Linked DNA regions of Stegostoma tigrinum. The protein of the gene in region 3 interacts with the protein of the main gene of each other region in a pairwise test. Links are inferred from orthologs where the notes say so. Each region holds a gene or a part of one and is shown on either strand. Other genes may lie near its edges.

Region 1 (7,606 bases), on a different chromosome or scaffold from region 3:
ATGTTGCAGTGTGATCTGGGTAGGCTGAGTGAGTGGGCAAATGCATGGCAGATGTAGTTTAATGTTGGTAAGTGTGAGATTATCCACTTTGGTTGCATGAATAGGAAAGCAGCTTATTATTTGGCTGTAAATTGAGAGAGAGAAAATTTCAACAAGGATAAATTTATTCTTTCAAAGGGTCGTTAGCCTTGGAATTCTTATATCTGTGAGTGTTGGAGTCTGGATCATTGTTATTTGCAAGACTGAGTGAGAAAGATTTTTGATCTAATACGAAGTTTTGGATCATGGACGGAAGGCAGGAAATTGGAGTTTATGCTAAAGTTAGCTTAATGAAGCTCTTATTAAATACTGGAGCAAGCTTGAGGTGGCTGAATGGCCTCAGCTTTTGATATTTCAACGCAGCCAGACAGTACATTTCACTTTTTGAAGATATGCACCCCAATGTTCATAGGTCTCTCACCCAACTCAGCATCAGATCATCAGTTTATTACTATTTTCAATCAACCCAAATCAACTTTATTAAATCTCTGACTTTATATCTAGTTTTATATTCCTCCTTGTGATGTCTCCAGTCAGGTTGCTGCGCCTTCAAAGCATTAGCTTGTCCCAACATAACCAATAGTAACCAAACATAGTATTCCACCTGTACATTAATTTTTATATTTTGGCTGCTACTCCCAGACCCAAGATCATTACTCCTATTTGTTCTTACTCTCCTTTTGTTCTTTACCTCTCCTGTCATCATGCCTCCCTCTTCTTCATCTTCAATTCCCTGCAATCTCAAACATCAATTCTTCAGTAACTACTCTCCTACATTCCTGCTTCAAACTTGGTATCAAATACTCTTAAATAAGCTTACTCTTGTTGTTTATGCACCAAACTCTGAGTGATTATTATGACTTTGTGCCATTCTTCTGCCTCTTCCCTGTAACCCTGCACTTTTAAATAAGCCTCTTTAATGCTTCAAACACTTCCAGGCATTTTCTGTCATGTCTGTGTTTGTCTTGAGCTATTATGGATGTGTTCTCTCAGTCAAATTCATGTCCTTCTTTGTACTGAGACCAGTGAGAATTAGTCATGTCTCTTGGTGGCTAGTTGGTGTCCATGTATCCTTATTGCCAGTTTTCTTCTGGTTTGGCTTATTTAATGTTTCTCTCAGTCCTTATTTTATATACTATGTTGGATTTGTTGGTTTTGGGTATAGGATCCTTTACATCTGTCAGTAGCTGTCATAGGGTGGCTGTTGGTTTGTGGGCTACTCTGACACCTAGGAGTCTGAGTAGTCTTATGGTCATCTCTGATATGTCCCTGATGTGTGGTAGGGTGACTAGTGTGTCTGGCCGTGTTGTGTCTTCTTCTTGTGGTCTGTTGCAGATGTAACAGCAGTTTGTGCTTTTGGGTATCCATTCCTTTTAAAAACTCTGTATAAGTGTTCTTGTTCAGCTTTGCATAGTTCCAGGTTGCTGCAGTGTGTTGTGGCCCATTTGAATAATGTCCTGATGCAGCTCCATTTATGGGTGTTGGGTGGCTGCTGGTGTTATTGAGTTTAAGGTTCTTGTGAAGATTTGTAGCTTGGGTTGTGGATGAGTTTGTTGGCTTACTCGCTGAGCTGGATGGTTATCATACAGACCTTTTGTCACCATGCTAGGTACCCATCATCAGTGCAGACTCTGATGAAGTGAAATTGTTCTACTCTGCTTAGTATTTGTGTAATCTGGTCTGTTAAGTTGGGTTGTGTCATTTCCAGTTCTGCTCTGCATGGGTTTGTACATGAGGTCTAATTCAACATGTTTGTTGATTGCACTACAGGTTGAAAACTAGGCCTGTACAAATTCCACACTTGTCTGTGGTTGGCTTGAGCTGGTATGGTCACATTGTCCCAGTTAAATTAATGGCCTCCATTGTCTGAGTGCACTTTGGTGGGGAAAGTTCATCGTGTTGTTTTGCTGCAACTGGTGTTCGTGTATCCTGATGGCTGGTTTCCTTCTGGTCTGGCTGATGTAATGTTTGTTGCAGTCATTGCGAGGTATTTTGTAAACTACCTTGGTCCTGCATGTCATGGGTACAGTGTCTTTAGTCCTTGAGTGTTTGTCGTAGTGTGGCAATGAGTTTGTGTGCTCCCATGATTCCTAGTGGTCGTAGGAGTCTTGTCGTCAGTTCTGATATGTTCTTGAAGTAAGATAGCATGGCCAGTGTCTTGGGGAAGACTCTGTCCTCTTGGCATTGTCTATCCAGTAGGCACCTGCACATGAAGTTGTTGGGATATCTGTTGTTCGCAAAAACCTTGTATAGTTGCTAATTCTGGCATGAGTTGTGGTCCTTTTGAATAGTGTCCTAATACAGCTTTGTTTGTGGACATTGAGGTGATTGCTGTGGAAATTGTGAATTGGTCAATGTGAGTTGCCTTCCTCTCTTTTTTATGTGGTTTGGAACTCCCCATTGGTCATTTGTTCTACCCCTCTTCTCTCGTAAATTTGATCCCAGTGACAACATTGTTGATGAGATGGTGTGTCTCTTCTAATTTGGTGCATTTAATGATGACAAACATGTATCGGATCCACAGTTTTGGCTGTATGAGGAGGAGGGTAGTGTGTTCCAGTCTTTGCATGACTGCCTCTGCGGTAAGTCCTGAGGTGGGTGACCCCATCGGTCTGCCATTGATTTGTTTGTATATTTGGCAGTTAAAGATGAAGTATGTGGGGAGGCATAGGTTCAGTGGTCTGAGTTTGTTGTCCTTGCTGATGGAGCTGTTTGGAGTTGGTGTAATTAAGTATCTGGTCCGTATGGTCCTCTATGTACACCGGTCTGGAGTTCCCCATTGTTCTTGCGTTCCACCATTATATCTAGGAAGGGTAGTTAGTTATTGTTCTCTTCTTTTGTGAAATTTAATCCAGTGAGGATGTTGTTTGTATGTTGGTGGGCTGCTTCTTGTGCATTTGATAATCCCAAACGTGTCATCTACATAATTGGACCTAGAGTTTGGGTTGCATAGTGGGAAAGCGCTGTCATTTCTAATCTTTGCATTACTGTTTCTGCTATCAGTCCTGATATCAGAGATCCCTTTGTTGTTCTGCTGATTTGTTTGAATATACAATCGTTGAAGTTGCAGTGGTTATGAGGCACAGATCCAGCGATTTTAGGGTACTGTCGTGGTTGATGCGGTTGGTGTCACAGGGCACCTGCCTTCCTGAATTCGACTTGCAGTGTGGCAATTGTCTCTTTGGCTAGATCAATTGTTTATAAAGCTTCTCAAAAAAAACTTTGAAAAACTGGTTACGTCCTGGCTAGATAACTTCCAGTCAAGTTTCTACCACATTACCAAATTGTTACATCAACCTGGCTCTGAGTCAAAGTGTACAGCTGGATGAACATAGCAGGCCAAGCAACATCTGAGGAGCACGAAAGCTGATGTTTCAGGCCTGGACCCTTCATTAGAAAAGGGGGAGGGGGACAGGGTTCTGAAATAAATAGGGAGAGAGGGGGAGGAGGATCGAAGATGGATAGAGGAGGAGAGGTGGAGAGGAGACAGACAAGTTAAAGAGGCGGGGATGGAGCCAGTCGAGGTGAGTGTAGGTGGGGAGGTATGGTGGAGTTAGGTCAGTCCGGGGAGGACGGACAGGACAAGGAGGCGGGATGAGGTTAGTAGGAAGGAAATGGAGGTGCAGCTTGAGGTGGGGAAAGATAAGAGGAAGAACAGGTTAGGGAGGCGGGGACGAGCTGCGCTGGTTTTGGGATGCAGCAGGGGGAGGGGAGATTATTGTGGCACTAATCAGTTCCTCCCGCATCCCTAACCTGTTCTTCCTCTCACCTATCTGCTCCTCCCACCTCAAGCCACACCTCCATTTCCTTCCTACTCACCTCATCCCGCCCCCTTGACCTGTCCGTCCTCCCCGCACTGACCTATCCCCTCCCTACCTATATTCCTCTCCACCTAGCTTCTCCACTATCCATCGTCGGTCCGCATCCCCCTTTCTCCCTATGTATTTCAGAATCCTCTCCCCCTCCCGCTTTTCTGATGAAGGGTCTAGGCCCGAAACGTCAGTTTTTATGCTCCTGAGATGCTGCTTGGCCTGCTGTGTTCATCCAGCTCCACACTTTATTATCCCGGATTCTCCAGCATCTGCAGTTCCCATTATCACTGAGCTTTTCTATCAACTTGTGTTTTTGCTCCCGATTCACAGCATCCGTAGTTCTTTAGTTTTCGAAACATCTCATCTTCCAAAACTATCCGCAATCTTAGAAATAGTTGACCTCAATATGTTTCTTTAATGTCTAATTGCACTTTCTAACGTTTCGCCGCATCGACTTGAATGGACTAGTTGACGGCTCTCGCTGGAACGGTGACGTCTCCAAAGAGAAAGCCCCGGCCCGCTAGTACACTGATTGGCTGGCTCGTCTTGTGAATATTAATATACGACGGTACGCCTGAGTCTGAATGCTCCATCTGGGGGTGGGGTTGTGTTTCACGCCTGATCGTTTATTGGTCAAACATCCATGCATGGGGTCGTTCTGGGAACGATTATTGGTCGGTCGCTGTCAGCTTGAAAGCGGAAGGATGGCGGATGGGGAGCTGTGGAGAGTGAGTAAGGGCCTTGACTGGGATAAGGTTCCTGGGAGCACTTTTCGCCATAGTTTTACATACTGTTATTATGGGAAAGTAGGTGGACATCCAGTGCAAAGATTAAAATGACTTGGTTTCTCTAATGGATCTGTGTAAACGCTCATTGCTCTCTGAAGTCAGGACTCCGCTCATTCAGACACAGTACTGCTCAGCTATATTTTACTGTGGGGAGTTTAATTCGGGTTCTTGGCGCAGCAATGACCTTTACTTAATAGTTTATGGGGTGGTCTGTAAAAGTGCCCCGGCCATCTAAACTGCCTACCTTGTCCTTGCAGCCTCCTCGAGTGTGCGACGATTATCGGAGTGAGTGGAAACACTGCCGGAGTCTGAGAAATCTCTTTCATCACTATTACACATTCGGAAAGTTCCCCTCGTGTAAACAGTGGAAGAAAGATTACAACAGTTGCATGGAATGGGAACGTTTTAAGTCTATCGAAGCTAAGGTAAAATTTGTGAAAATATTATACAAGCAATATAACTGGATTTGGCCAAATACCATCCTGGTAACGTTCAGAACCACGCACACTTACGAACATACCTATTTTGCTTATTCTGTCACATTGCTGTATTCTTCTGAAGGCAGAATTCTGCTCGGTGTACAAGCAGCTACCAGCCATCCAACTGAAGTAATAATTTTAAATGCATAAACTCTCATCAATGAGTGTTTCTCTGGAGGGCCTCACACCATTTTTTCAACCTTGACCTGTGACGCTTAAATGCCAATCGCTAGTATGAGGATTAAAACTGGTATTGGGCACCTTGGTCCCAACTTTAGAAAGACAGTTCCAGCTACCCAAACTTTAGTTACACAATAACTATTTAATGCTGATTAATAAAATATTCAACAAATGAAGAGTCATACTGGACTCGCATGTTATTCTTTGTCTCTTCACAGATGCTGCCAGACATGTGCTGAGTTTCCACTACTCTTTTAAAACTTCAGATTTCCAAAAGTATTTTGCTTTTATTTGAATTAACAAGTAATCTATATAACATCCTCACTATAATAAAACGTACCAAGGTGTTTCACAGCGTTGTACGACAGAGCCATATGGTAATATTACGTGTTGACCAAAAGCCTGGTTAAAGAGGCATGTTCAAGGAGTGCCTTAAATGAGGACAACATGTTAAAGACAATGCCATGGGGTTATTAAAATTGGAAATGTGCATTTTGAATTAGATGATCAATATGAATGTTGTGAAACAAGAGGAGACTTAGAGGGGCCACGGGAGGATTTGTAAACCATGAGAATTTTGAAATTTAAGATATTTCAGTGGGAATCGGTTATAGGTCAGTAAGCATTGGAAGGTAAATTAAATTTATGAGTTTAATGCAGGCTTAGCAGCATTTTGGATGATCAAGCTTACAGAAGGTAGTATGTGGGATGCGATCCCGAGAGTTCATTGAAAAATACTAGACCGAAAAGTGTAAATATGGGTTTCAGCAACAGGCAAGCTGTTGTGGAAGTGGAAATAGGTGATCTTGGTTAATGCTGGCAGAGGAAGGTGATGGCCTAGTACTAATATTGCTAGACTGTTCATCCACAGACCCAGACCTGGGTTCAAATCCTGCCATGGCAGTTGGTGGAATTTGAAATCAATAAAATATCTGGAATTAACAATCTAATGATGACTATGAATCCATTGTTGATTGTTGGAAAAACCCATCTGGTTCACTAATGTCATTTAGGGAAGGAAACTGCCATCCTTACCTGGTCTGGCCTACACATGACTTCAGATCCACAGCAATGTGGTTGACTGTGAATGCCTTCTGGGCAATTAGGGATGGGCAATAAATGCGTAACCAGTGACACCATCACTGTCAATGAATAAATCTTTTTTACTTAAAGCTAAAACTTGTGTCGAAAGTAGCTACTAATGTGGATCTAACTGCAAGTTTATTTTAAATTTACAGATAGCTTTATGTGAGAGTGAGAAGAAGAGGTTAGCAGAACAAAAGATACACTTTCCAATCTGGGTGATGAGGAAAAATCCACCAGCTGAATGGCATCTACCCCTAAGTGACAAAAAAGAGGAATAGCTGGAGTTGATCACATCTGGAGTCACAAATCGCCAGTCATGCAATACAGCTTTTGTGAGCATGTCAGCTCCATTCTGCAGTGCAACCTATATAACTGGTTTTAGGGGAACCCAGATGGAAGCAGGTTTGAGTCTTGAGAACACTAAATAACCTGGATTCACTTTGATAGGAACTAGATGAGGGTGGCAATCAGAATGTTATACAACTCTCTCAATGATTATGCTGCAGTAAAGATGTTTTCAATAAATAAACTGCCAGCATGTAAATTTCATTAACTTCAGGCTCTTGTGAATGCTTATTTTATCTCTGTGAGATGCTTAGAGAGGGTGTTCTAGAGTGACTTATGTAAGAAATTAAGATCTAATTTGAGTTGGGCACCAGTCCAGATTTCACTTTTTTAAAAAAAAAAGTGGTGGAGATAACCTGAACTAACATGAGGTAGTGTTATTGCATCAACAGGGAGCAATTTAAACAGAGGAAGCTTTTTAAGCTCATGCACAAATTGTAAACTATCGTAGGTATGAGGGAAGAAATTATCATTACCATACTTTCCTTATTGTGTTCATTCTGATACGAACATTATTTTTTTCATTCACGGAATTATGGGAGGCACTGTTAGGCCAGCAGTTATTGTCCAGACAGTCAATCCCTCACTGTGGAAGTGGAATCAAAGTAGGCCCTAAGTGGGTATTAGTGAATCCGGTCTTTTTAATGACAATTGACAGTAGTTACATAGTTCAAACTCACAAAGCTAGACCATTAGACTGAGGCCTGGATTATTACTCCAATAACATTACAACATCACTGCCTTCCCAGATTTACCAGACACCTACTTTACTTTATAAATAAAGTAGATAAAGGAAAAAAAAAATCAAAATATAAATATACAAATAAAGTTATGAATATTTGTTTAGAAAACACAGCTCTGGTGGTCTGTCCAAATA
Region 2 (8,169 bases), on a different chromosome or scaffold from region 3:
CCTGTCTCCCCATCCCGTTCTCCCTCCCCACCCCTCCCTGTCTCTCCACCCCTCTCCCTCCAACCCTGGCCCTCTCCCAACCCCTCACTCCCACCCTACCCCTCACTCCCACCCTACCCCTCACTCCTGCCCACCCCACTCCCACCCCTCACATCACTCCCACCCCTCACATCACTCCCACCCCTCACATCACTCCCACCCCTCACATCACTCCCACCCCTCTCAACACTCCCACCCCTCTCAACACTCCCACCCCTCACCTCACTCCCACCCCTTACCTCACTCCCACCCCTCACTCCACCCCACCCCTCATCCTCACCCACCCCTCATCATCACCACACCCCACCCCTCACCTCACTACACCCCACGCTACCCCTCAATTCACTCCCCATCGCTCCACACCTCACTCCCCCCATCTCACTCACCTCTTCATCTCATTCCTCAAACCCATCCCTCACACCTGCCCCCATCCCTTCCATTGAACTGAAAAAAAAAGCGCAAAGAGCTGAAATTCACTGTTGGCCAGCGACCGGTACCACAAATAAAGCCAAGAGGCCACTGTCTCTAACCACCCTCCCTGCCCCAGCAGCCTGGAGGGGCCAGGGGCATACATTCAACTCTGATTAACTTTGATGCCAAATAACCAACAGAATCTGCAAAGAGCTAGCTCTTGGTTTCCCGTGAGTGATTGTCAATGTCTGCATTTTTGGTTGTTGTACGTATTTTTAATTTTGTATCCAAACATCCAATATATTGCCTGTTAATGTGGTCAACTTCACAATCAGTTTGGTATCTGGGGTGGGGTTGGGTTGGTATCTGGGATTGGGATTGGGTTGGTATCTGGGATCAGGATCTGGTTGGGTTGGTATCTGGGATCAGGATCTGGTTGGGTTGGTATCTGGGATCGGATCGGGTTGGGTTGGTATCTGGAATCAGAATCGCGTTGGTATCCTGGCTCGGGTTGGAATCTGGGATCAGGATCGGGTTGGGTTGGTATCTGGGATCAGGTTGGGTTGATACCTGAGATCGGATTAGGTTGGTATCTGGGATCAGGTTGCGTTGATATCTGGGATTAGATTAGGTTGGTATCTGGTATCAGGATCTGGTTGGGTTGGTATCTGGGATCGGATTAGGTTGGAATCTGGGATCAGGATCAAGTTAGGTTGGTATCTGGGATCAGGTTGGGTTGATATCTGAGATCGGATTAGGTTGGTATCTGGAATCGGGATCTGGTTGGGCTTTAGCTGGCAGAGGAGCTAAAAAAAATGGAGAGTAACTGGTTTCTATTGTGTTTTTCAGACTGGCAGAAAACAGAAGCTCAGAAAAGACGTGAGCAGCTCTTACTAGATGAACTAGTTATTCTGGTTAACAAACGGGACGCGCTTGTCCGAGATTTAGATGCACAGGAAAAACAGTAAGTTACTAAATTAAGAAAAGTTACTTGGTGGGAATGAAAACCGAGCCTTTCGCCTGCACGTTATCCTCCAACTTTCCGGGTTGAATGTATTCAGTATTCGATCCTATCCAATCTAGCTTTAGTTTTTGAATGTTGCATTCTTCAAGAGTCAGGTCTCTTGGTGCTGCCCCAGTCCCTAATGAAGCCTGTTTGTGTGTTCCAGGGCGGAAGAAGAAGATGAACATTTGGAACGAACGCTCGAACAAAACAAAGGGAAAATTGTAAAGAAAGAAGATAAGTGTCTCATTCAGTGAGAGAGATGCACTAGAAGATCTCCCATCATTTACACACACTTTCACTCTCATTTTAATAAACTATGTGATGGATTTGAATGATATCATGTTTCAATTAGATTGTAAACTGTTGTATTTTTTTTCTGTCAGAGCATTTAATCGTCCTAAGGCCGCAGGTCCGTCATATGGCTGCATCTGTCGTTTTTATGAAAGTGTATTTTGTAAAAAAAAAAGCCGCGTGTAATTGTTTTATTTGTAACGGTGACATTTAATGTTTTATCAGTTACATTTGGGAAGAATTCCCTGCTCATTAAGGAGGATAGGAAAAACACCAAATAGTTGCGAAATGTAGCAGGACAGTTCCTGATTGTTTCTTATTAACACTGAGACGGCTTTCTGTGCGCCGCACTGATCTGCCTCAAATGGATGTTGGATCAGATTTGATACTGTGACCGGGGAGGTTGGCGGTGGTTACCGGCTTCTGAACGTTACTGTTTTACAGAAACTGCGGAACTCCAGCCTCTGGGTGCACCTTTGAATAAATTGATCGCCATCAGTTGTCAAAAAGTGAAACATCTTCAAGAAACAATCTCTAAACCGGAATGTTTGAGCTTGCTAGTTGCTGCATTTTCAATATCTAGGTTTATTTCCATTGAATATTGGAACGTTTCATTGGAGCTGTAAAGTCCGGTTTTTTTTAAAATATAAATAGTTGGCTTTTACAGAGCGGCTATGTTGTAAATGATATTATCTGAAGTTAGTTTTAGTTTAAACTCAGAAAAGGGCTGATGACTTTGCACCCGGTTGGTGCGGTCAGTTCGTTCTCTGGTGTTTTCTATGTATTTATTACCCGGAACAGCGCGAGCTGCTTGTTTAAGCTCCAGGTATTTTGCTAAAACGTTTTTGTTTGGCTCGAAAATGCTTGTTATTTGTCTTCCGAAAGCAAAAGCAGTTCTCTAGAAGATCGGAATCATTTTCAACACGTTTCTCTGCACCAACCTACCGTCAATAAAACTGCTGCTTGGGGGAAGAAATATTTCTGTTTATTTATTCCAGGACCGCCTCTGAATCTTGAATAAAAAGTGAACTTTGAAGCGTTTTATGTGGACAGAATCTGTTGTTGATGCTTTAGCCTAATCATGTTCATACAGACTTGCGACTTCTAAATTTGAGTTATTTACATAAATGACTTCGATTGGGGAGCGATTTACTTTAAATTGGAATTGTTTAATGCATAAATAAAAGTTTTCCTTCGCTACAACCAAACCGGTTTAAGTTTTTTAACGATTGCACGTCAGCAATTCCATCCTGGTGGGTAAAAGCTCCATGCCCAGGCTGAAGCAGGCGCACAGCAAAGTCAGAAAAGATACCTGTAAAGCGTCTCCTACAGCAGTTTTCCCGGGAACTCCTCCCGACCGTCTGAAATCAAAATCAAAGTTGAAAATCCAAATCTTTGTTCAAAATCCCAACCAAAACCCCGAGGTTAGTTTTCTAGCTGCACCTGGCTGGGTTTCTGCCCCTTTTTCCTGTTTTTTTTTCATTCCCTGCCCTGCAGATTCCTCACGTGTGGGGCCCATCTGCGGTGACTGTACTCTCATGTTTTAATTTCTGCAATAGCCGCCGATTGCAGTCATTTCAATCGACTTTTTTAAAAAATATTGCTCTAATATCGACATCTTTCAAACAATTAAACAGATGATGTGTTTTTGTAATGAACTAATAAATATTCGAAGCTGAACTGAACAGCTCGATCAACGGCCGATATACCCCTTTCTGTAAACATTTCTAAATGAACCTGATGTCTCTCATTCTCAAACCCTGCAGCTGTCAACCAGGAAACGCACCAGGCACGAAGCTAAAGTTTAAAGTGCGCGTCTTGATGTTGTTTCCGCGGTGTCACGGAAATATTGAAAGGACATTTTCTGTTTGAGGCTCGTTCCTAAAATAATTTGATAGGATACATTTCTTACACGACGCCAATCACATCAACTAGAGCTCGTAGCCGTTAGGAGCTGAACTCCCTTTGCACATTCCAAATTATTACACTGTTCGTTTCGGTTTCATCGGCGCAAAACATTTCGGATTTTCTGTGGTTGTGTAACTTTGAAATGATTTTTCTGTGAAGTCATTGCAGCAAAGAGGTGAAACCGGCCGCTAGCCATTAACTTTGTAACATCACACATCAATGTCTTCAACTGGAGAAGCAAATCTTTTAAAGTCGCTTCTAAGTGAATCCCATTACTGTTTTTTTAACTCATTTTGAGACAATGTCGGACATTACCATCCTTCCCGCGGCTAGTGTGGACAGTATCTTTTTAATTTGTTAGTGGGGACTATTAATTACTTTGGAGGGAGATTAGCACAAGGAAGAGACAATTTTACAGACACAATCTGTTTAGATGGCAGAGCTTTTAGTCAATGTATTGAATGAGGAATTTCTGTTGTGACACCATTCGAGCCGCCGCCTTCAGAACCTGTAACACTCAACGCATTCCGGCGACTTTCAAATTCATTTGCTGTGTCTAGTTTTCCAGGACAGTTCTGGCCCATCAGTAGCATTCCTGCCACCTCAGTCTGTCCAAAAGCAGGCTTTTGGGGACTGTCGAAAATCAAACAATCTGCACTGGCACCGTTTAGCATCGTTATCACATGACACACAGACCTGCAGAAAGTCTAACCTTCAGCTAAAAGGACGTCCACGCCTCGTGCCAAATATGTTTGAGCCGAAATAAAAATTTTATTTTGTTAAAAGTGCACAGACTGAACTGAGATGTCAGCAAAGGGGCTGCGGCCCGTAACATACGCATGATCCTGGACACAATTGGTGCTAATTATTCAAACTTCCAATTGCACCGTGAGCGCTGGAAAATTCCTAAATCATTCCTAACTTCCCGGCTATAATTTCTACACCGCCTGGAATTTAACAATTATGACTGTAAGTAGTTGTCATCCTCTCCGTTCTTACCTGTTTGCTCCTGGCCGCCCACAGTAAGCAGCAGATTTGACAAACTCTCTGAAAGGGCTAACACGAGGCTGGGAGCCGCAGTTTGAAAACTTTTCAGCGCTTCACCTGGTGAACAAGGAGTTGATGAAGGGATTTAGTCGCGATCGAGACTGGAGGAGTCTCTTGTGAATTTTACATTTGGCCCCTCGGATGTATCTAAATGCGGCTGCAGGTGATGATCACTGGGATTTCAATTCCCCCCCCCCCCCCCCACCACCTTTTCCACCGAGCCAGTTACACTATCCCAGTTTTATCCCTATCCCTACACTATCCCATCCCTGTGTAAAGCAAGTTAAACCAAGTGTGGCCGTTATAATCGGCCCGCCGTGCCGCTCCAGTGCCACGTTACACCACATTCTTAGTTTTGTCTGTACCAAATCTTCCGCAATCTCTGACTTCTACCTTTTGATGCAATAACGCACATCTGTCCCTCTCCCTGTCTCTCCCTCCCCCCTTCCCCAACCCAGGGTTTCAGGCTCGGCTTTAAGAAAATTCGCCTGCAATTTCGGATTAGACAAATACTCTTCTTACAAAGGTTAGTGCTACTTGATACTATAATACTTAACACAGGCTTGATCAGCGCATCTTAAACAGAGACTTCACACAATAAAAACAATCAGTAAATCCCTGGGATTGCTCCAGAAGTAAACTCGATTGTGTTTCATCAGACAAATTAGCAGGATGTTTCGTTTCCTTAATGCTGGTTAAAAGGCAGGATTTTTAAAATGTACATCTTTTAAGTATGATTTAAACAGAGCAGTACAACCGAAGGTTTATGTACAGAACAGTTCAATCCCAGCTGCGAATATGGTTAGCCAAATAGTCTAACAGAAAGGTAGAGAGTATACCTCAGTTATCAACAACTGAACAATAGGAAACAGTGCGAAACTGTGCAAGCCGTGTACAGAATGAATTAACAATGTTCATGTGAGGTACGATCTTATTTTTTTTCCGAAGGCATTAGCTTTTTTTTACGTTTAGCAAATACTGATGTTAATCCCGAACAATTTCTAATTATTTCGAACAGTCGGTTGCGTCTTTCTTGCTCATGGTAACGAGATCTTATTATTATCATGGAAATAGCCTGCCTCGGTGCAAAATTATGTTCCTTGAAGGTTTCACTTCTCAAACGCAGGCGAAAAAGAAACCAAAACAAAAAAAAACTTCCAGCAAAGTGCATTATTTGCTAAGTTGGGATTGAATTGACCGCTGGTTCTTTTGTCAGAAACGGTGCTCGTGTCGATGACTTTCAGTGAACTATTGGGAAAGTCTTGTAAAACCTTCCTTTGATGAGCTGCTCGGTAAAGCAAAAAATGTAATTTCGTCTTCTGGCGGTTGGTTTCTTTGAACATTAGCTCGCTTTCAGTTCCCGCATCAATTAGAATGAGTTGATTTTCTGTGAACAACAAAAGAGTGACCAAAGCCTTATTAAGGTTTTCAGAAGAACTCACCGAGCCTTTCAAAACCAGTTAAGGAAACCCTGTGCCCCTCCATGATATTCTGTTACCGTATGTTATTTGTTCACCAAAGAAAAGTGACGCTTGAAAAGTGGTTTCTTTGATAACCAGCAGCCGACAGTCCTTCTCGAATTCATTTATTTCCCGCGTCGGCGTATTTTTTCTTTAGAAATTTCGATTAAAGGCAGTCTGTCCCATTAAAGTTTACGCTGACTATCCCGAAATGTAAAACTAAATGGGGATTAGGCCGTCATCAATATTCATGAGAACGTACAATTTCAAACACAAAAAAACCTCGACATTTTTAGGAGTAATTATTTTAAAAGTACGACTTGAAAATACAACCGTATTAAAATTCCGGCCCTTGTTATTTGCTGGAAAGGCCCGAAAGAGAGAGATTTCCTGGTTAAAACATTCGTTTACCTGAAACTAAGTTTAACATATCCTCAGCTGAAACCTTAACAGGACATGGGGGGTGGGGGGGGGGGGGGGGGGAAACCAGCTGATTTCTCAATAGAGGTTCATACTTCTCCTTTATTTCATGTATTTATCACAGGAAACTCGTAACGAAAATGATGCGGACAGCCAGGTTTATTTTCTCGCAAGTCAGTGCCTTGTTCGCTAATAATGGTGCACATCCCACCGGGCTGAGAAACAGATACTGAATAGGTGCCAGTTACACTGATGTGAGGTGACAGAAAACCGACTTTATGAATGTTCTCTGAATTGTTTAGTCTCACAACAAGCTGCTAGCTGTATTGCGTGAATTTCCACAGCAATAATTACCTGCTGTAATTAAGTGGTGGCCGCTCGGGTTTCTTCATGAATAACTTTGCAGCTTGTCCAGAAATATGTAGCTGACAGATTGTGACTACTTTCAGAGGAGCTTTTTACCCAGCGATGGGCAAGTGTATTCCTCCTCTGGGAAAGTAGTGCTCCGGCGTCACCTGGAGACGAGCTGTCAATCATGAACAAGTCGCCGGGTGATTGGTGAAGGGCGGATCATTGTCGGGCAGTTCCGCCAGAGCAGCGCTCTCTTAGAGAAGGCTGCAGTGATCAACTCTCCATTGAGTCAGGTCCAAACAAACACGGAACGACCTGCAACTTTCGCTTCCCCAGCCTCTAGGCTCGCAGCAAGTTTCTCACTTTGCTGCTTGTTTCGTTTCTGGGGTGGGTCTGTTTTGGGAAGGGGGGTGGTGGGTGTTTGAATTCAGTCCCACCCGCTCCGACCTAACCTTGTTGCGCGTTGTGCTACAGAATAGACAGCAGGCTCCTGCTTGCGTTTTACTGAGTTCTAGACTCCAGGCCTGGTCTAAAATATTCTCAGGTGAGTGTGAGACTCCGCGGTATTTATTCATGGGGGGTGGGGGGCAGCAATCTCAACGAATTAGTGTGAGGCTAGGGAGTTTTTCTTTGAAGGGGCTAGTTTGAAAACGACCTCAGATTGTGAACTAACTTGTGACTGTTAAAGTACAGCTCTCTATGGCTAACTTTGAATTTTTTTTCCCCCTTGTATTTGTGTTGTTAACTAATTCAATTTTGTAACTGACCTGACTCCTCCTAAAGTACTTGGATCGTTTAATTTGTTTCATTTTCTCACTGAAAATTACAATTGCAGCGTCCAAGGGCCGATTGAAAAGCTTGAGTCCACTTTAGCGGCTAATTGGAGAGGCGTGTTTTTCGTTTTTTTTGTTCATTTATTTTGCTGATAAGGTTCCTCCTTTTAAATTGCGTCCCCTGAGGTCTAATCTAAATTGTAATTGACTTCATTTGCACACGGCTATCGCCTTTTAAATGAGAGCACGGTTTTATCTGGGTTCTGTGGAGGTGGAAACTTGGGTTAGGAAACTGTTGATTGAGAATGCGGGTTAATTTTTTTTTTCAGCTAAGTGCTCTGATGTTATCGTCGCCGTATGGAGGACAACTTTCATTGAGAAATGTCAACATTGAATATTCAGGGTCGATCTAATTGTTTTTTTTAAATTGGCGGCTGCGTTTTCTCTTTTGAAAGGAATTTGT
Region 3 (7,615 bases):
CAGGCCAAGCAGCATCTCAGGAGCACAAAAGCTGACGTTTTGGGCCTAGACCCTTCATCAGAGAGGAGGATGGGGAGAGGGAACTGGAATAAATAGGGAGAGAGGGGGAGCGGACCGAAGATGGAGAGAAAATAAGATAGGTAGAGAGGACGGTATAGGTGAGGAAGTAGGGAGGGGATAGGTCAGTCCAGGGAAGACGGACAGGTCAAGGAGGCGGGATGAGGTGGTAGGTAGGAAATGGAGGAGCGGCTTGAGGAGGAAGGGATGGGTGAGTGGAAGAACAGGTTAGGGAGGCAGAGACAGGCTGGGCTGGTTTTGTGATGCAGTGGTGGGAGGGGACAAGCTGGGCTGGTTTTGTGATGCAGTGGGGGGAGGGGAAGAACTGGGCTGGTTTTGGGATGCAGTGGGGGAAGGGGAGATTTTGAAGCTTGTGAAGTCCACATTGATAGCATTGGGCTGCAGGGTTCCCAAGCGGAATATGAGTTGCTGTTCCTGCAACCTTCGGGTGGCAATGCAGGAGGCCGATGATGGACATGTCATGTGAGGAATGGGAGGGGGAGTTGAAATGGTTTGCGACTGGGAGGTGCAGTTGTTTGTTGCGAACCGAGCGGAGGTGTTCTGCAAAGCAGTCCCCAAGCGTCTGCTTGATTTCCCCAATGGAGAGGAAGCCACACCGGGTGCAATGGATACAGTATATCACATTGGCAGATGTGCAGGTGAACATCTGCTTGATATGGAAAGTCATCTTGGGGCCTGGGATGGTGGTGAGGGAGGAGGTGAGGGGGTTCTTCCTCTCACCCATCCCTTCCTCCCACCTCAAGCCGCACCTCCATTTCCTACCTACCACCTCATCCCGCCTCCTTGACCTGTCCGTCTTCCCTGGACTGACCTATCACCTCTCGACCTCCTCACCTATACTCTCCTCTCTACCTATCTTGTTTTCTCTCCATCTTCGGTCCGCTTCCCCCTCTATTTATTCCAGTTCCCTCTCCCCATCCCCCTCTCTGATGAAGGTTCAGGCCCGAAATGTCAGCTTTTGTGCTCCTGAGATGCTGCTTGGCCTGCTGTGTTCATCCAGCTCCACACTTTTATCTTGTGTATGAAATTTTGTTTTCCTGAGGTAAGCCTTCATCTTTCCCAGTAACTGTTGCAGTGTAATTGCAGATCTTTAGGCTTTAATTCTAGTCTTCCCAAGAAGGGAAGTATCAGCCCCCTTGCTATCAAGACCCCTCAACATCTTGAAATTATCCCTCACTATTCTGAACTCTAATGGATGCAGACCTAACGTGTCCTGATGAGACCTCTGCTCACTGTCACTATCGCAATCTGCATTTGAAAACTTTCTCCTTAAAACTGTTAGTGAATTGTCATTGAGGGCGAGTTCTGGGGAACAGAAGTCTGTTTCTCACTGCAGATGCTTCTGGACCAACTGTGTATTTCTAATAACTGCAGTTTTTATTTCAGTGCGATGTTCCTGGGTTAGGTGTCTATGGATGCAAATCTCTGAAAGTTGTTGAACAGGGGCAAAAGTGACCAAAAAGTCTAAGGGCCTTTTTCTTGAATGGAATGGAATTCAAAAGTGAGGAGATGTTTCTTCACTTTTATGTTTGGTTTAGTTGTCAATGCAATTTCTATGCCAGAAAATGCTGTAAATACACAATATCTTACAAAGTGAGGAAGAGATGACAAATGCCTCAAATAAGAGTTCTCTGACTCAGGGTTTGCCCTGAAATATTGTCTTGTCGTCTCAGATGCTGGTAAACTTGCTGTTAAATTTTAGCATTTTCTGCTTTTTAAACAGTGGAACATCCATTTTGTTGGAATTTCAAATAATTACATATCTGTCATTGGTTTGAACCTGTGTGAAGCATTAAGAACAACATACCAATAATAAATGAAGTTGTATTATGGATTCTTAAAGCCTCATTTAAGGGGAGTAAGATTTATTTCAAGATTTACTATCCAGGACTCCAAGAATTCTTTACACTTCCCATGCTACTTCTACACACAAACTAATGGGGTTAACTTTGCTTGGCTGATATCACTTATTAACTGATTTTGTTCTGTGAATGATCAATATCTAAACACATGAATTGGTATGTTGTGATCCACTCTATTAACTTTGTAACAGATTAATTTTCGCCAGCAGTAACATCGGGTCACAAATGAACTGAAATGTGGGATCATATAAATCAGTTTATCTCTTATATAAAATGTTTCATATCTGGCTCTCTGTTGAGGTGTACTGCCTGTCTAATTTTTTAGTTTCTGTCTTGGCATTAATTTTCTTTTTTACTGTTGTGGCATTCTCGTTTTCTGAGATTACTTGAGCATGTAGTGTGCTAATTAAGCAAAATGGATGCAAATTGTCCCATTGAAAACACCCAGCATGGCTTCACAAGAGGTAGGCCATGTTTAACTAATTTGGTGGAATTCTTTGAGGATATTACTTGCATGGTGGACAATGGGGAACCTGTGGATGTGGTGTATCTAGATTTCCAGAAGGCATTTAATAAGGTGCCACACCAAAGGCTGCTACATAAGATGAAGTTCCGCGGTATTACAGGTAATATATTGGCATGGATAGAGGATTGGTTGACCAATAGAAAGCAAAGAGTAGGGGTAAACGTGTGTTTTTCTGGTTGGCAGTCAGTGGCTAGTAGTGTGCCTCAGGGGATCAGTGTTGGGACCTCACTTGTTTACAATTTACATAGATGATTTGGAGTTGGGGACTAAGTGTGGTGTGTCAAAATTTGTAGATGACATTAACGTCAGTGACAGAGCAAAGTGTGCAGAAGACGTTGAAAGTCTGCAGTGGGATATAGATAGTCTAAGTGAATCGGAAAAGGTCTGGCAGATGGAGTACAATGTTGATAAATGTGAGGTCATCCATTTTGGTAGGAATAACAGCAAAATGGACTGTTTTAAATGGGAGGGGAAAAAAAGTAGCACACTGCTGTGCAGAGGGACTTGGGCGTCCTTGTGCATGTAATGCTGAAGGTGGGATTGCAGGTGCATTAGGTGATTAAAGAGGCAAATGGCATTTTATCTGCCATTGCTCGAGGGATGGAGTTTAAAAACAGAGGCGCTATGGTGCAGATGTATAGGGTCCTGGTGAGGCCACACCTGGAGTACTGTGTGCAGTTTTGGTCTCCTTACTTGAGAAGAGATATACTAGCATTGGAGAGGGTGCAGAGGAGATTCACTTGATTGATTCCAGAGTTGAGAGGGTTGGATTATGAGGAGAGACTGAGTAGACTGAGCATATACTCATCGGAATTCAGAAGAATGAGGGGAAATGTATAAGATTACGAAGGGAATAGACAAGGTGGAGGCAGGGCGGTTGTTTTCACTAGCAGGTAAAATTAGGACTGGGGGGCATCGCCTCAAAATAAAGGGAAGCAGATGTAGGACTGAGGTCAGGAGGAACTTCTTCACCTAAAGGGTTGTGAATCTGTGGAATTCCCTGCCAAGTGAAGTGGTTCAAGTTACCTCGCTGTATGTTTTTAAGGCAAGGCTAGATAAATTTCTGAACAGTAAAGGAATGAAAAGTTACAGTGAGTGGGCAGGTAAGTGAAGCTGAGTCTCAAAAACCAGCCATGATCTTATTAAATGGCAGGGCAGTCTCGAGGGGCCAGATGGCCTACTCCTGCTCCTCGTTCTTATGTTCTTATGAATGATGGTTTCTGTAAATATTTGTACAGTTAATAGATCTTATCCATTCGAAGGTAGATTGTGCTTTGTAGGGAACCATGCCCTAGTTATTAAATTTTTTATACTGGAAGATTCAAAAGTGGAACTGGGAGTGTGCAAATGCACGTGCAATTCAGAGGTAAAATATGCAGCAGTACTGTAATCGTAACAAACTCGAGTTTATTTGGAATTATTTGCTGAAGCGGCAACATGTTTTGTCTCTGTGGATTGCCTTGATGCATCACCTAATTGTGTAGATTGGTTCATGAACATGTTCGAAATCCTGGGCAGCAAAAAACAGAAGTTGCTGGAAAAGCTCTCAAGTCTGGCAGCATCTGTGAAAAAAAAATCAGAGTTAATATTTTGAGTCAGGTGTCCCTTCTTCAGAGCTTTGAGGAAGGGTTACCAGACTCGAAATGTTAACTCTTGAGTTTTTTTCTTCATAGATGCTGCCAGACCCTTTGAGCTTTACCAGCCAACTTCTGTTTTTGTTCCTGTTTTACAGCATCTGCAGTTCTTTTTTGTTTTTATTTGAAATCATGGGGACTGATAACTTCTAATTAATCTAAAAGTTTCAAAAAAGACTTAAACTGGCCTCTCACACATCCTTCTTGTTGGAAGTTATATTCAGTTTTATTTCAAGATGTTGGTTGAGCTATCTGCAATTGCTTTTTTTTGCATGTGAAAACATTCAATTCAAATACATATCCCTCTCAAACTGTTGCTGCATGTTTATTTTGTTTGATTAAAATTCAGATTGACAAACAGGTTGAATTTTTGGCCGGTGGAGCAACTGAAACTCAGCAGAAACTTGACAAAGTTCAAACTGCCCCTATTGTTCTGTCTTGCAGTACAGTACTCATTTCCTCACAGTCACATGATATGTCGTGCTAGAACAAGAGGGAGCTGTCAGACCAGCAGTCCAGTTCTTCACCGTTGTGTCTAAGATCAGTTTCCCAGAGTGAAAGCTGGAGTGTCAGGTATTTTCAGTTTTACATCTTTTCAAATTGAACTAACCAGCAGCTGAATCATTTGAGTGTAGATGAGATTGTGTACTTACTTCAAGCAAACCAGAATAGTAACTCTCCTGTTCACCAGTTAGTTGCGATTCCCTTGCTGAATTGTGTTGAAACTGTGTGTTGTTAATATTGTGGATTTCTGAGGGGTTAACCTGTTAGTCTTTGCTGGGCAGTGAATTCTGTAAATTACTCCTTGGGACTAACATCAGTTGCTTTTTTTTGTTTTAAAAATAAGAACATGTACAATCATATGTAAGTAGCATTAAAATGCTTGTCAGTAAAGTTAGAAATTCCTTACTGATCACACAGGCAGAAAAGCCATGTAAACATTCCACCCCATGCTAAGTGTATTTGGTAAGAGCTTGTGAATTTCTTTTAAAAGAAGTTGTTTCAGTTTCAAAACTTAGAGCTCCCTCGCAATCACAGACACGTACTCAGTTGGCATGAATTTGGGAACAGAAAGGAAGTAAAATGCAAGAGAAGTGACCCAAGTACAGCAGATTGTGATAAGGGTGTGCCATGCTATAATTTGCAGAAGCGCTTAATGCATTAAAAGCTGTCATTTGTTCATACCTTACGCACATATTTGGCTTTGTGTTGCCTCTTGTATACAAGTTTCTGGATTGTTATGCGTGCCCATTGTTCGAGCAATATTCTTTAATACCAACTTCACTTTATTTGTAAGCATTTAACTGCAAAGAAATTGTGAAATAATCAAAGCTGGTTACTTCCCTGAATGGCCTGTACTTTTTTGAAATTGGTTTCACTTGAAACCAGCTTTGTTGCAATGCACTTTGATTTTCAAATCCTACAGTTCTACTGTGTGCTGGTTTATTTCCTGGTTAAAACTTTCGTAGCGCAAGCTAATTCAGTCAGTAGTATTGTGTTCCCTTTTGAGACTTGCCATAGAGTCATAGGTTCATACAGCATGGAAACAGACGCTTCAGTCCAGTGTGCCAATCAGACATCCCAATCTGATTTAGTCCCATTGCCATCACTTGTCCATATTCCTCTAAACCTTTCCTATTCGTGTACTCATACAGATGCTTATTAAATGTTGTAATTGTGCCCGCTTCCACCACTTCTTCTGGTTGCTTGTTCCATACATGTACCACCCTCTGCATGAAGAAGTTCCTCCTTGGGTCCTATTTAAATCTTTCCCCTCTCGTCTCAAACTTATGTCATCTAGTTTGGGACTCACCCACCCTGGGAAAAAGACCTTGGCTATTCACCGTATCTATGCTCTTCATGACTTTATAAACATTACCAAGGTCACCCCTGGCCTCTGACACTCAAGGGGTAAAGAGCCGCAGCTTGTTTAGCCTCTCCCTGCAGCGGAAACCCTCCAGTCCCAGAAACATGGTGATAAACTTGAGCAGGTTCAGAAAAGATTTAACACCTTCCTATAGAATGGTGACCAGAATTGAATATAATATTTTAAATGTAGCTTCAGCAATGTCCTGTACAACAGTAACATGATGTTCCAACTCCTGTATTCAATCTACTGAACAATGGAGGCAAGCTTGCCAAACGCTGCCTTCACCACCCTGTCTATCTGTGAATTCAGTTTCAAGGAATCGGGCACCTGCACCCCTAGGTTTCTGTTCAGCATCACTCCCCAGGGCCGTACCATTATCTGTATAAGTCCTACCCTTTTTTGCCTTTATCAAAATGTAATACCTCATGTTTATTTAAGTTAATCTCCATCTTCTACACTGTCTACTGTGGTGTCATCTGCAAACTTCCCTCTGATATTCACATCAAAATCATTTATATAAATAACAAAAAACAGTGGACCCAGCACCGATCTTTGTGGCACACCGCTGACCACATGCCTCCAGCCCAAAAAGCAACTTTCTATCACCACCCTCTGTTTCCTACCTTCAAGCCAATTTTGAATCCAATTGACTAGCACCCCATGGATCCTATGTGATCTAAACTTAGTAAAAGTCTCATAACTTTTATGAGCGATATCATACTTTAACATTGAAATACTTGAGTACTGTACGATTTCTAGAAAACAAATTAGATACAGCTGGAATAAGATCTGATGCAGCCTTAAGAGAAGTATTGCTGTTTGTCAGGTAGATGGCGTTTATGGTGGAACTGTGTTAAAAATGTTGATTAAAAGACTGGCATTTATATGGCGCAGTTCAAACTTTTGAATGCTTCATATAGCTTTATGACCAGTTAAGTAACTGCAAAATGCAGTAACTGTAAGTGAACAGCTAATTTGTGAACAACAGTGAACTAAACAGTAACTGGCAGGCATTTAGTACCCCTAAAGTGAAAGGGCCCATGGCTTTTTGTGCGTTATTGAACTAAATTCAACATCTAGCAGCATGGAGATATTAGGAAAGGTGATCATAGCTCATGAAAGAGGTAATTTTAAAATGGAAAGAAGTGGGGAGACAGAGGATAAGGAAGTCAACAACCTGTGGTTTGGGTTTGGGCAGCTGAAGAAGCAGCCACCTTACAGGAGTGATGGCAGTTACGACGTATGAGAGAATGAAATTGGGGGAGTGCGGAGATCTCAGAAAGGTGGAATAATATAAAAACAAAAAGAATTTTAGATTTGAGGACCACTAGGACTTGGAGCGGTATAGATCAGCGAGTGAGTGATAACCAGATGTGAGATATATAAGGAGATAGATGAGGCTCTGTTTTACAATCATATCCAAAAGATAAATGTATCACTTCCTCAGTCTTCTGATTCTGAATTGAGAGTCCTGTTGCTGAACTTACAGCTGACACATCTTTACTATAACTGCATCCTGGCTGGCACCTGTTGGGTTTATCTCAACTTAGCTGCTGGCAGTAGCTGTGAGCTTTAGACAGAGGTTTTCATTTTTGTAAAATTGGGATAGACTTTACTTTGTGGCAGATGGATGGTTGTTTTATGT
Region 4 (7,945 bases), on a different chromosome or scaffold from region 3:
AAAGGCTGATGAAAGCTGAAATTTCCGAAGAAGGACCCCGACCCGAAACGACAGCTTTCCTGTTCCTCTGATGCTGCCTGGCCTGCTGTGTTCCTCCAGCTCCACACTGTGTTATCTCTGACTCTAGCATCAGCAGTTCTTACTATCATTTTGTGGTATTTGTTGTATTTGTTTTTCTCGCAGGACAAACTCAGTTTAGAAGAGATGAGGCTCTGTGCTAAACGTTGACCAGCCATGCAATGGTCTTTCCTGTTAGCCAGTCAACCTTCTATCTAGATCAATATGCTACCTGCATCATGAGCTTTTATTTATCACAAAAACCTTTGATGTGACACTTATAAAACGTAAACTGAAGATTGAAGTTACGATGTTTATAAGGTATTTGGATAAGTACATGAATAGGAAAGGTTTGGAGGGATATGGGCCAGGAGCAGGCAGTGGGACTAGTTTAGTTTGGGATTATGTTTGGTGTGGACTGGTTGGATAGAAGGGCCTGTTTCTGTGCTGTATGTTTCTATGACTCTATGATATCAGTGATTCTTCTTTATCCACAACACATCCCCTAAGTGCTCCAATAGGTTGGACAAGCTTGATGAGCCAGATTTCCTGGTGAGTGGCAATCTCACACAGATTACCCTCCAACCTGTCCTTTTTTATGAAGCAAGGAAGCTCTGCATTTCTGAGAGTACATTCCCCTCAGGTCTCATTCAGAAACATGAAGCTGTACTTCCATTCCGATAGTTCTTTCTTAACGCAGACCTCTCAGAGGAAAACAAACCACATCTTCATTTCACAGCAGTCAGCTGCCCATATTCAGAAACTTTAAAGATCCTGACAGTCACTTTGACAGCTGCTCTCAAAGGCTCATTGTGTTCACTGAATGGGATATGAGGGTGTTGGGAGGGGAGGGTGGCAGGCGGGTAAGGAGTAGATTGTCTGGAGGTAGGGTACCGTAGGATAAGGTCTCAGATGGATGGATGCCGTGGGAAGGGAGTACAGGGCCAGGTAAGTGATACTGTGTCCAGAGAATGTCAGGTATTGGTGGGGGGGGAGGAGAAATCGAGGCTAGCTGAGGGTGGGGTGAGTGGCTGTTGAGATGATTAGATTAGATTTCCCTACAGTGTGGAAGCAGGCCCCCTGGCCCAACAAGTCCACACTGCTCCCCCCACCCCCGAGCATCCCACCCAGACCCATCCTCCCACAACCCACACACCCCTGAACACTACGGGCAACCCCGCACAGCCAATCCACCTAGCCTGCCCATCTTTGGACTGTGGGAAGAAACCGGAGCACCCGGAGGAAACCCACGCAGACACAGGGAGAATGCGCAAACACCACACAGACAGTTGCCCGAGGCTGGAATTGAATCACGGTCCCGACGCTGTGAGCCCACAGTGCTAACCACTGAGCCACCGTGCCGCCCCGATCTGGGGGTGGGGAAGTCAGGGTGGCTCTGACAGTGAGCGGAGATAGTTGGTGGGATTGGTGAGTGGACAGAAACAGGATGGTCTGCTTGGGTCAAACAGCAGGGAATTGGAGTGGTGGAATGGGGTCTGGGGCTTGGACAGGGTATGCATTTCCAGGGGAGAAGGGGAGGACATTGGATCGGGGACTGGGAAAGTTGGCAGGGTCTGGTGTAGCGGAGTCAGGCTGGGTCAAGCTGGCCCCAAAGGAGGGAGAGGGATTTCTGGGATCTAGACCTGGGATTTAGGTCTAGGCTGATGAGAGTCAGGGCTGCAGCTGGCAGAGGGAGTGTTTGGGGTTTAGGGTGGGGATTGGGTTGTGGCGAGTGCATTGGATCCCCAGGGCAAGGGTGAGAGGGTTGTTGGATCCTAGGGATTTACTGGAGGGGAGGGCTCTGGTCCAGCTCCCTGAAGGGTGGGGCCTGGGGTGGGATATCAGGTCCCAAACGGGGTATCAATTCAAGGTCTGGAGGGTGTATGAGATCTGGAGGAGGTATACTTGGTCAGATGTGTTTAAGTATGGGGTGAGTAGTATAGTTACGCTGAAGTTAGACTAGGTATTTGATAGGCTAACTTTTCCTGAGTCATTATTTTACTTAATTTTGTCAGAGCCATTGGAATCTGCAATTAAAGTGAGATTTTCAGGGGATCCCAGGCATAAGGGGATTTGCCCCGAGGAAATGCAGTTTTCCAGGTAATTCCTTCAGTGTGCACCCACGTACATCTCAGAACTACGTTAGCACAGCAGCTGTCTCGCCAGTCACAAGCCCATGCCTGACTTCTCTTTCATAAAAGATAACAAGGCGTAAAGCTGGATGAGCACGGCGGGCCAAGCAGCATCAGAGGAACAGAAGGCTGACGTTTCAGGCCTGGACCCTTCTTCAGACCCGAAACATTAGCTTTCCTGTTCCTCTGATGCTGCTTGGCCTGCTGTGTTCATCCAGCTCCACACCTTGTTATCTCAGATTCTCCAGCGTCGGCAGTTCCTACCATCTCTTCTCTTACATAAAATTTTGTTGATTCTACCTGACTACATTGACTTTTTAAAGCGCCCTACTACAAAGTCTTTAATCATAAATTCTAACATTTCCTCTATGACAGACTAACTGGCCTGCAGTCAGCATAATTCTGTCTCAACTTTTTGAATAAAGAAGCTATGTTCAGTATTTTTCAATCTAGTGGGACCTTCTGCAAATCTCAAGGAACTTGCAAAATAAAAACCAACATCAAATATCTCACGAGCAACTTCTTTTATCCCCACAGGATGAAGTCCACTAGGACCTGGGGATTTTTTGTCAGTTCGCAGCTCCAATAGTTTGCTCAGTATCACTTCCATATTGTTAAATTTGATTGTAACTCCCTTGAGTTGCTCCTTTCCTTGCAGTTTCTGGCTTACTGCTATTTCTAGGATGTTACTTACATTCTTCATAGTGAAGACCGATGAAAAATACTTACTCAATTCACCTGCCATCTCCTTATTTTCCATTATTAATTCCCAGACTCACTTTCTATGCCGCCAATGCTCACTTTGTTAACTCTTTCCTTTTGTGAACACTTATAAAAACTATTACTATCTGTTTTTAATATTTCTAGCTAGCTTACTCTTGTGCTGTAATTTTCCCACCTTTGTTAATCTTTTTGTCATTCTTTGCTTTTTTTAAAGCATCATGTCTAATCTTCAGAAATGCCAGCCAACTTTGTGCAACTAAATGCTTTTCCTGTCAATTTAATATTTTCTTTACCTGTTCAAGTTAACTGCAGATACTTTCTCCTCCCGTTGGGATTGTTCTCGCTCACTGGAGTGCACCTATCCTGTACTATCCCTTTAAATATCTGCCGCTGCATCTTTATTGACTTATCCTTTAATTTAATTCGCTCTTTGACTTTAGCTAGCACTGCTTTTGTGCACTCGCAATCACTCTTATTTAAGGTGTTATTCCTGGTCTTGCGCTCCCACTTGTGCACTACTTCTGAAGTTAAGTGGTTTGCTAGTTTGAGTTCTAGAGTTTGGCTGTAGAACATCCCAACAGTACAGCCCACTTTCCCCATTAGTGCTGCCAATGACAGACAAACTGGGAGCCACTTCTACCACATCAGAAGTTGAACCAAGCAATTACTTCCCTAATCTTATTTACTATGCAGCAATTTACATGTGGCTCAGGTTAGTAACGCAGGGATGTCACCTCAGCCACAGGTCTGGGCAGGCGCCAATATAGAACCCAGTGACTCCAGGTGAGAAATTATGCCCAGTTAATTCTTCGGCTGGTTTAGTCAAAGACCCCATGCCATTGCTGCGTGAATGCCAGCAGAGTTCACCTGGTGTTTTGGCCCAAACCGATCCCTCAACCAACACTGCTAAAAATAAAATCAGCAGATCGTACGATGAATTATCCAATCTCTATTTGCAGGATCTTGTTGAACACAAAATGACATGTTTCGGCGCAGTCAAAGTCAACTGAACTCAAGTATTTGATTGGTTGTAGTTACAACTGGTTTGAGGTTATGGCGGGCACAAGGTAAGTGGAATTTCTATTGTTCCTGAAGCTTAGGGTCTTGGCTCATTTACTTGACCAAGGTGTGCAGCAGCTCCAATCCACCAGTTGAATTCCAAAAGCCATCCTGTGCTGCTCTATTCAGAGAGAAAACCCTTTTAACAAAACCGGGTCATTTTAGTCATGAACATGTTGCTGTTTTGGGGTGCTTGTTGTGTGACAATTGACTGCCACATTTCCTACATTACAACTGCAGACTACCTTTCCAAAGTATTTCATTGGCTACAAAAGCATGAGGGGACATCCTGAGCTTGTGAAAAGTGCTAGAGAAATGCAATTTTGTTTTATTTGTTCACACGAGTTGCAGCATCAACAGCAAGACCAGCGTTTATTAGCCAATCGCTGTTTGTCAACGGCAGAGAGATGTCAAGCATTTGCTGCAGAATCCCAGTTCCTGACCTGCTTCTGCAGCCACAGTATTTACTCGATTGATCAGTGGTGACCCCAAGATATTAATGATCACCGATTCGTGATGGTAATGCTGTTGACTGGTAAGAGAAGGCGGACAGACATTTTCTAAGACATTCCATCCCCAGGATGTGATTTTCCTTCAGCTTCTAGTGCAGTAGCTTCACCTCACATCTTTTTTAGAGGAGCAAGGGGGCACTTTTCAAAGGCAATTATTGAATTGATGGTTGTTTTGTTAGGGTTATGCCATTATCATCCTGCTGACCCAACCAATCTGACTGCTGGAAAATGTGTCGCAACAGGTTGGTTTATGAATCAATGAGGATGATAGTCAATACAAACAAGAACTAGATCCAGCCAAGGGCCTGGTGGTGAAGGGGTTAATTCCTGGCTGCAGCAAGAGTGACAGCTTGGTGTTCCTGTCCCTGTATGTTTGTGGCTGTGTGTTTCTCTGGTTTCGGTTCGGCTCAGGAGTGCAGAGATGGCCCTCTGAGATTGATGCCATCGACGTCAAAACCAGCTGCCTCAGCAAGCATTGTGTTCAGGTACTCTGGGCAAGACCGTACAATCCGAAAAAAGAAACACCCCGATATGTTGCATTTTTTTAAAGATAGCAGAGGATAGCCCGTGCTCCTGCCTTCACTGCTTATTATGGGTTGCTGCATTTCCAGAGGTGAGTCTGCATTGTGAAAAATAACCACTTACACTCGAATCAGACTACACCTCTTGTTGTCTGCATGCATTCATCCCTCTAGCTGTGGTGTTAAATAGCTGTCCTGAAATTGCAAGGCGACGCTGTGCTATATGGTGGATTAGATCAATCTGGTTTGGTGTTACTATGGTTACACGTATCAATGGACCAGGACCTCACTGCCAGTATCAGGGCTTTGTTTGAGAAATGCACTGAGCACAGAGCAATAAGGCAAGGATGCCTAATGTTACGCACAGGGCAGGTTTATCAGAATATTCTAGAAAAGGACGGTCACGTTTTCTGTGCTGGGCTTTTGAAATATGTGGTATTGCAGTCTCCTGCCATTGTGGTCAAAGAGCTGTGAATCCTATCACCGTCCTTGATAACTGAATCAAATGTGATGCCAAGGGAGTGTATCAGCAATCACCATCAGCAGCTGGCATGCCTGGCATTTATGACCCATCTCTGATTTCTGTAAGGCAAGCAATTTGATGTGATTTAGCAGCTTGCTAGTCTGTAGGATTTTGAACAGCCAAGGTGAGACTGCAGTCACGCAGACAACAGGTCTGCTCCCTTATGGGACATGAGTGAACAAGTTTAATTTTATAACGGCCTGACAAATTTTTTTTTGAAGGAAGGTCCAGACCCATAACATCAGCTCTCCTGTTCCTCTGATGCTGCCTGGCCTGCTGTGTTCAACCACACCTTGTTATCTCAGACCCCAGCATCAACAGTTCCTACTATCTCTGAAAAATTTGTATTTGCTTTTACAGATACAATGTATTTAAGCCCAGATTTTATAAACTAAACTCAAACTACAAAGTGAAGTGAATGTCTAAAGTGACTTGAACATTTCAGGTGCATAGATCTTTAAAATGTCATGAACAAGTGGAGAAAATAATGAAGAAAGCTAATGTAATGCTGGCCATTTTATCTAGAGGACTGGAATACAAAGGTGCAGAAGTTATGCTGCAGTTATACAAAAACCTTGGTAGACCCCACATGAAATATTGTGAGCAGATTCCGGCACCACACTTTGAAACAGTATATTGGCCTTGGGTGAATACAAAGTAAGTTTACAGAATGATGCCAGGGCTTCAGGGGGTTAAGTTATGGATGAAGTTATACAAATTAGGCCTATTTTCTCAAATTTTTAGAAGGAGAAGGGGTGATCTGATCAAAGTGCTCAAGATATTATCAGGAAAAGACAGTATAGATGAAGGTAAATTATTTCCACTGGTTGGGGATTCTAGATCTAGGTGGTATAATCTAAGAATTAGGGCTGGACCTGTTCAGGAGAGATGGTAGGAAGCACTTTGACACACAAAAGCTGGTAGATGTTTGGAACTGTTTTCCATTAATGGCAGTGGATGCTGAATCCATTGTTAGTTTTAAATGTGAGATAGATAAGTATTTGTTAAGCAAAGACATTAAGGGATATGGGTCAAAGGCAAGATATAGAGTTCGGCTACAGATCAGCCATGATCCCATAGAACATTAGACCACGTTTGATGGGCTGAATGGCCCAATCCTGTTCCTATGTTCCGAAATGTTCAGATTTCCCCCATGATATCTGAATTCATGCCTTCTGCATTATTCATTGTTCATATTGGCAGCTATTGGAAGTTCTTATTTGTTTGATAATGCAGAGCTTTTTGTATTGGTGGGAAAGCCAACGTTCACACTGCATGAGACGAGAATGCTGATTGGTTAGTAAGTGGTGTCTGATTGGTAAAGACTTGCCATGGAGAGTATAAGCATTAATGCTGATTGGCAGTTAACAACCAGGCTTTGATTACATTTTAGCATGGCACAGCATGGTGACTCAATGGTTAGCACTGCTGCCTCACAATGCGAGGGACTTGGGGTCAATCCCACCCTCGGGTGACTATCTGTGTGGAGTTTGCACGTTTTCCCCGTGTCTGCATTGGTTTCCTCCCACAGTCCAAAGTTGTACAAGTTAAGTGGATTGGCCATGCTAAAATTACCCATAATGTATAGGAATGTGCAGACTAGGTGGATTAGCCATAGGAAATATGGGGTTACGGGGATAGGGCAGAGAAGTGGGACTGGGTGGGATGCTCTTCAAAGGTTGGTGGGACTTGATGGGCTGAATGGCCTGCTTCCACAACATTGGGATTCTATGAAACTGGATAGTTGGCTTTGACTGGTTAGGGCATTGCTCTGAGAAATAAACAAGTGAATGGCTGTGACCTACTTTATTGACTAGAAACAAGTGTAGTATGTACACATGCCTGCATGAGGTGGTCTTGTTTACATTTTAAACAAAGCTTGGCTGTTAACTGTCAATCAGCATGTACTGGGTGCATTTTCAAGGCAATGCTTGGACCAGGCAAAGCCCAATCAGCACTCTCCTCTCAAGCAGTATTAATACTGGTTTTCTCCTTGAATTGAATTGATGAGTACAAGATGAATATCTTCGACTAAATGAACCTTTTCAGCAAAGTCTGGGAACAGGAAGGGAGAAAATTTAAAGCTGCAAGAGTCAGTAAAACAAAGGGTAATTAATCTGTGATTGAAATGAGTTGAAGAGGGAGAAGGTAGAGATAGGGAAGGGCAGGAAGAGTGAGCGAGTGAGAATAGAGGGAGAGAGAAATGTGTACGGAGAGGGAGAGATGGGGGTACAGGAGGTAAGGATAGTGAGCAGAGGGAGGAGTAAAGGAGTGGGGAGGAGTAAATAGGATGTAGGTAAGAGACGGAGTGAACTATAATCCACCTCACTAATTGTCAGTCTGCCGTTTAACCGAAACTACAAAACAAGCTAGACATTGAGAATTCTTGAAATGGAAGTCAAGTCCCTGGCGACTTTA

The links.
Region 1: the proteins of progranulin (region 3) and c26h22orf39 interact in binary tests that used the Homo sapiens proteins (3 or more experiments, as listed by UniProt). The link is inferred for Stegostoma tigrinum from reciprocal best matches to the Homo sapiens genes GRN and C22orf39.
Region 2: the proteins of progranulin (region 3) and otx1 interact in binary tests that used the Homo sapiens proteins (3 or more experiments, as listed by UniProt). The two-hybrid records come from large-scale screens. The link is inferred for Stegostoma tigrinum from reciprocal best matches to the Homo sapiens genes GRN and OTX1.
Region 4: the proteins of progranulin (region 3) and fam131c interact in binary tests that used the Homo sapiens proteins (3 or more experiments, as listed by UniProt). The link is inferred for Stegostoma tigrinum from reciprocal best matches to the Homo sapiens genes GRN and FAM131C.

Annotation. Positions count from the first base shown.
Region 1 is NC_081379.1:43,403,120-43,410,725, forward strand, and holds c26h22orf39 (UPF0545 protein C22orf39 homolog), read left to right. Parts: upstream 1-4,453; 5' UTR 4,454-4,498; coding exon 4,499-4,579; intron 4,580-4,896; coding exon 4,897-5,064; intron 5,065-6,536; coding exon 6,537-6,662; 3' UTR 6,663-6,937; downstream 6,938-7,606. UniProt on the Homo sapiens protein: Negatively regulates long-term potentiation and modulates adult synaptic plasticity. Stabilizes the interaction of RTN4 isoform A/Nogo-A with its receptors, inhibiting clustering of postsynaptic AMPA receptors at synaptic sites.
Region 2 is NC_081362.1:1,438,017-1,446,185, forward strand, and holds the start of otx1 (homeobox protein OTX1 B), read left to right. Parts: upstream 1-4,965; 5' UTR 4,966-5,625; intron 5,626-6,706; 5' UTR 6,707-6,841; intron 6,842-7,010; exon of another isoform or gene 7,011-8,169. Other genes in the region: ehbp1 (EH domain-binding protein 1), read left to right, coding at 1,300-1,414, 1,620-1,710. UniProt on the Homo sapiens protein: Probably plays a role in the development of the brain and the sense organs. Can bind to the BCD target sequence (BTS): 5'-TCTAATCCC-3'.
Region 3 is NC_081384.1:30,758,080-30,765,694, reverse strand, and holds the start of progranulin, read left to right. Parts: upstream 1-4,544; 5' UTR 4,545-4,673; intron 4,674-7,615. UniProt on the Homo sapiens protein: Secreted protein that acts as a key regulator of lysosomal function and as a growth factor involved in inflammation, wound healing and cell proliferation. Regulates protein trafficking to lysosomes, and also the activity of lysosomal enzymes.
Region 4 is NC_081381.1:31,605,086-31,613,030, forward strand, and holds the start of fam131c (protein FAM131C), read left to right. Parts: upstream 1-4,715; 5' UTR 4,716-5,074; coding exon 5,075-5,096; intron 5,097-7,945.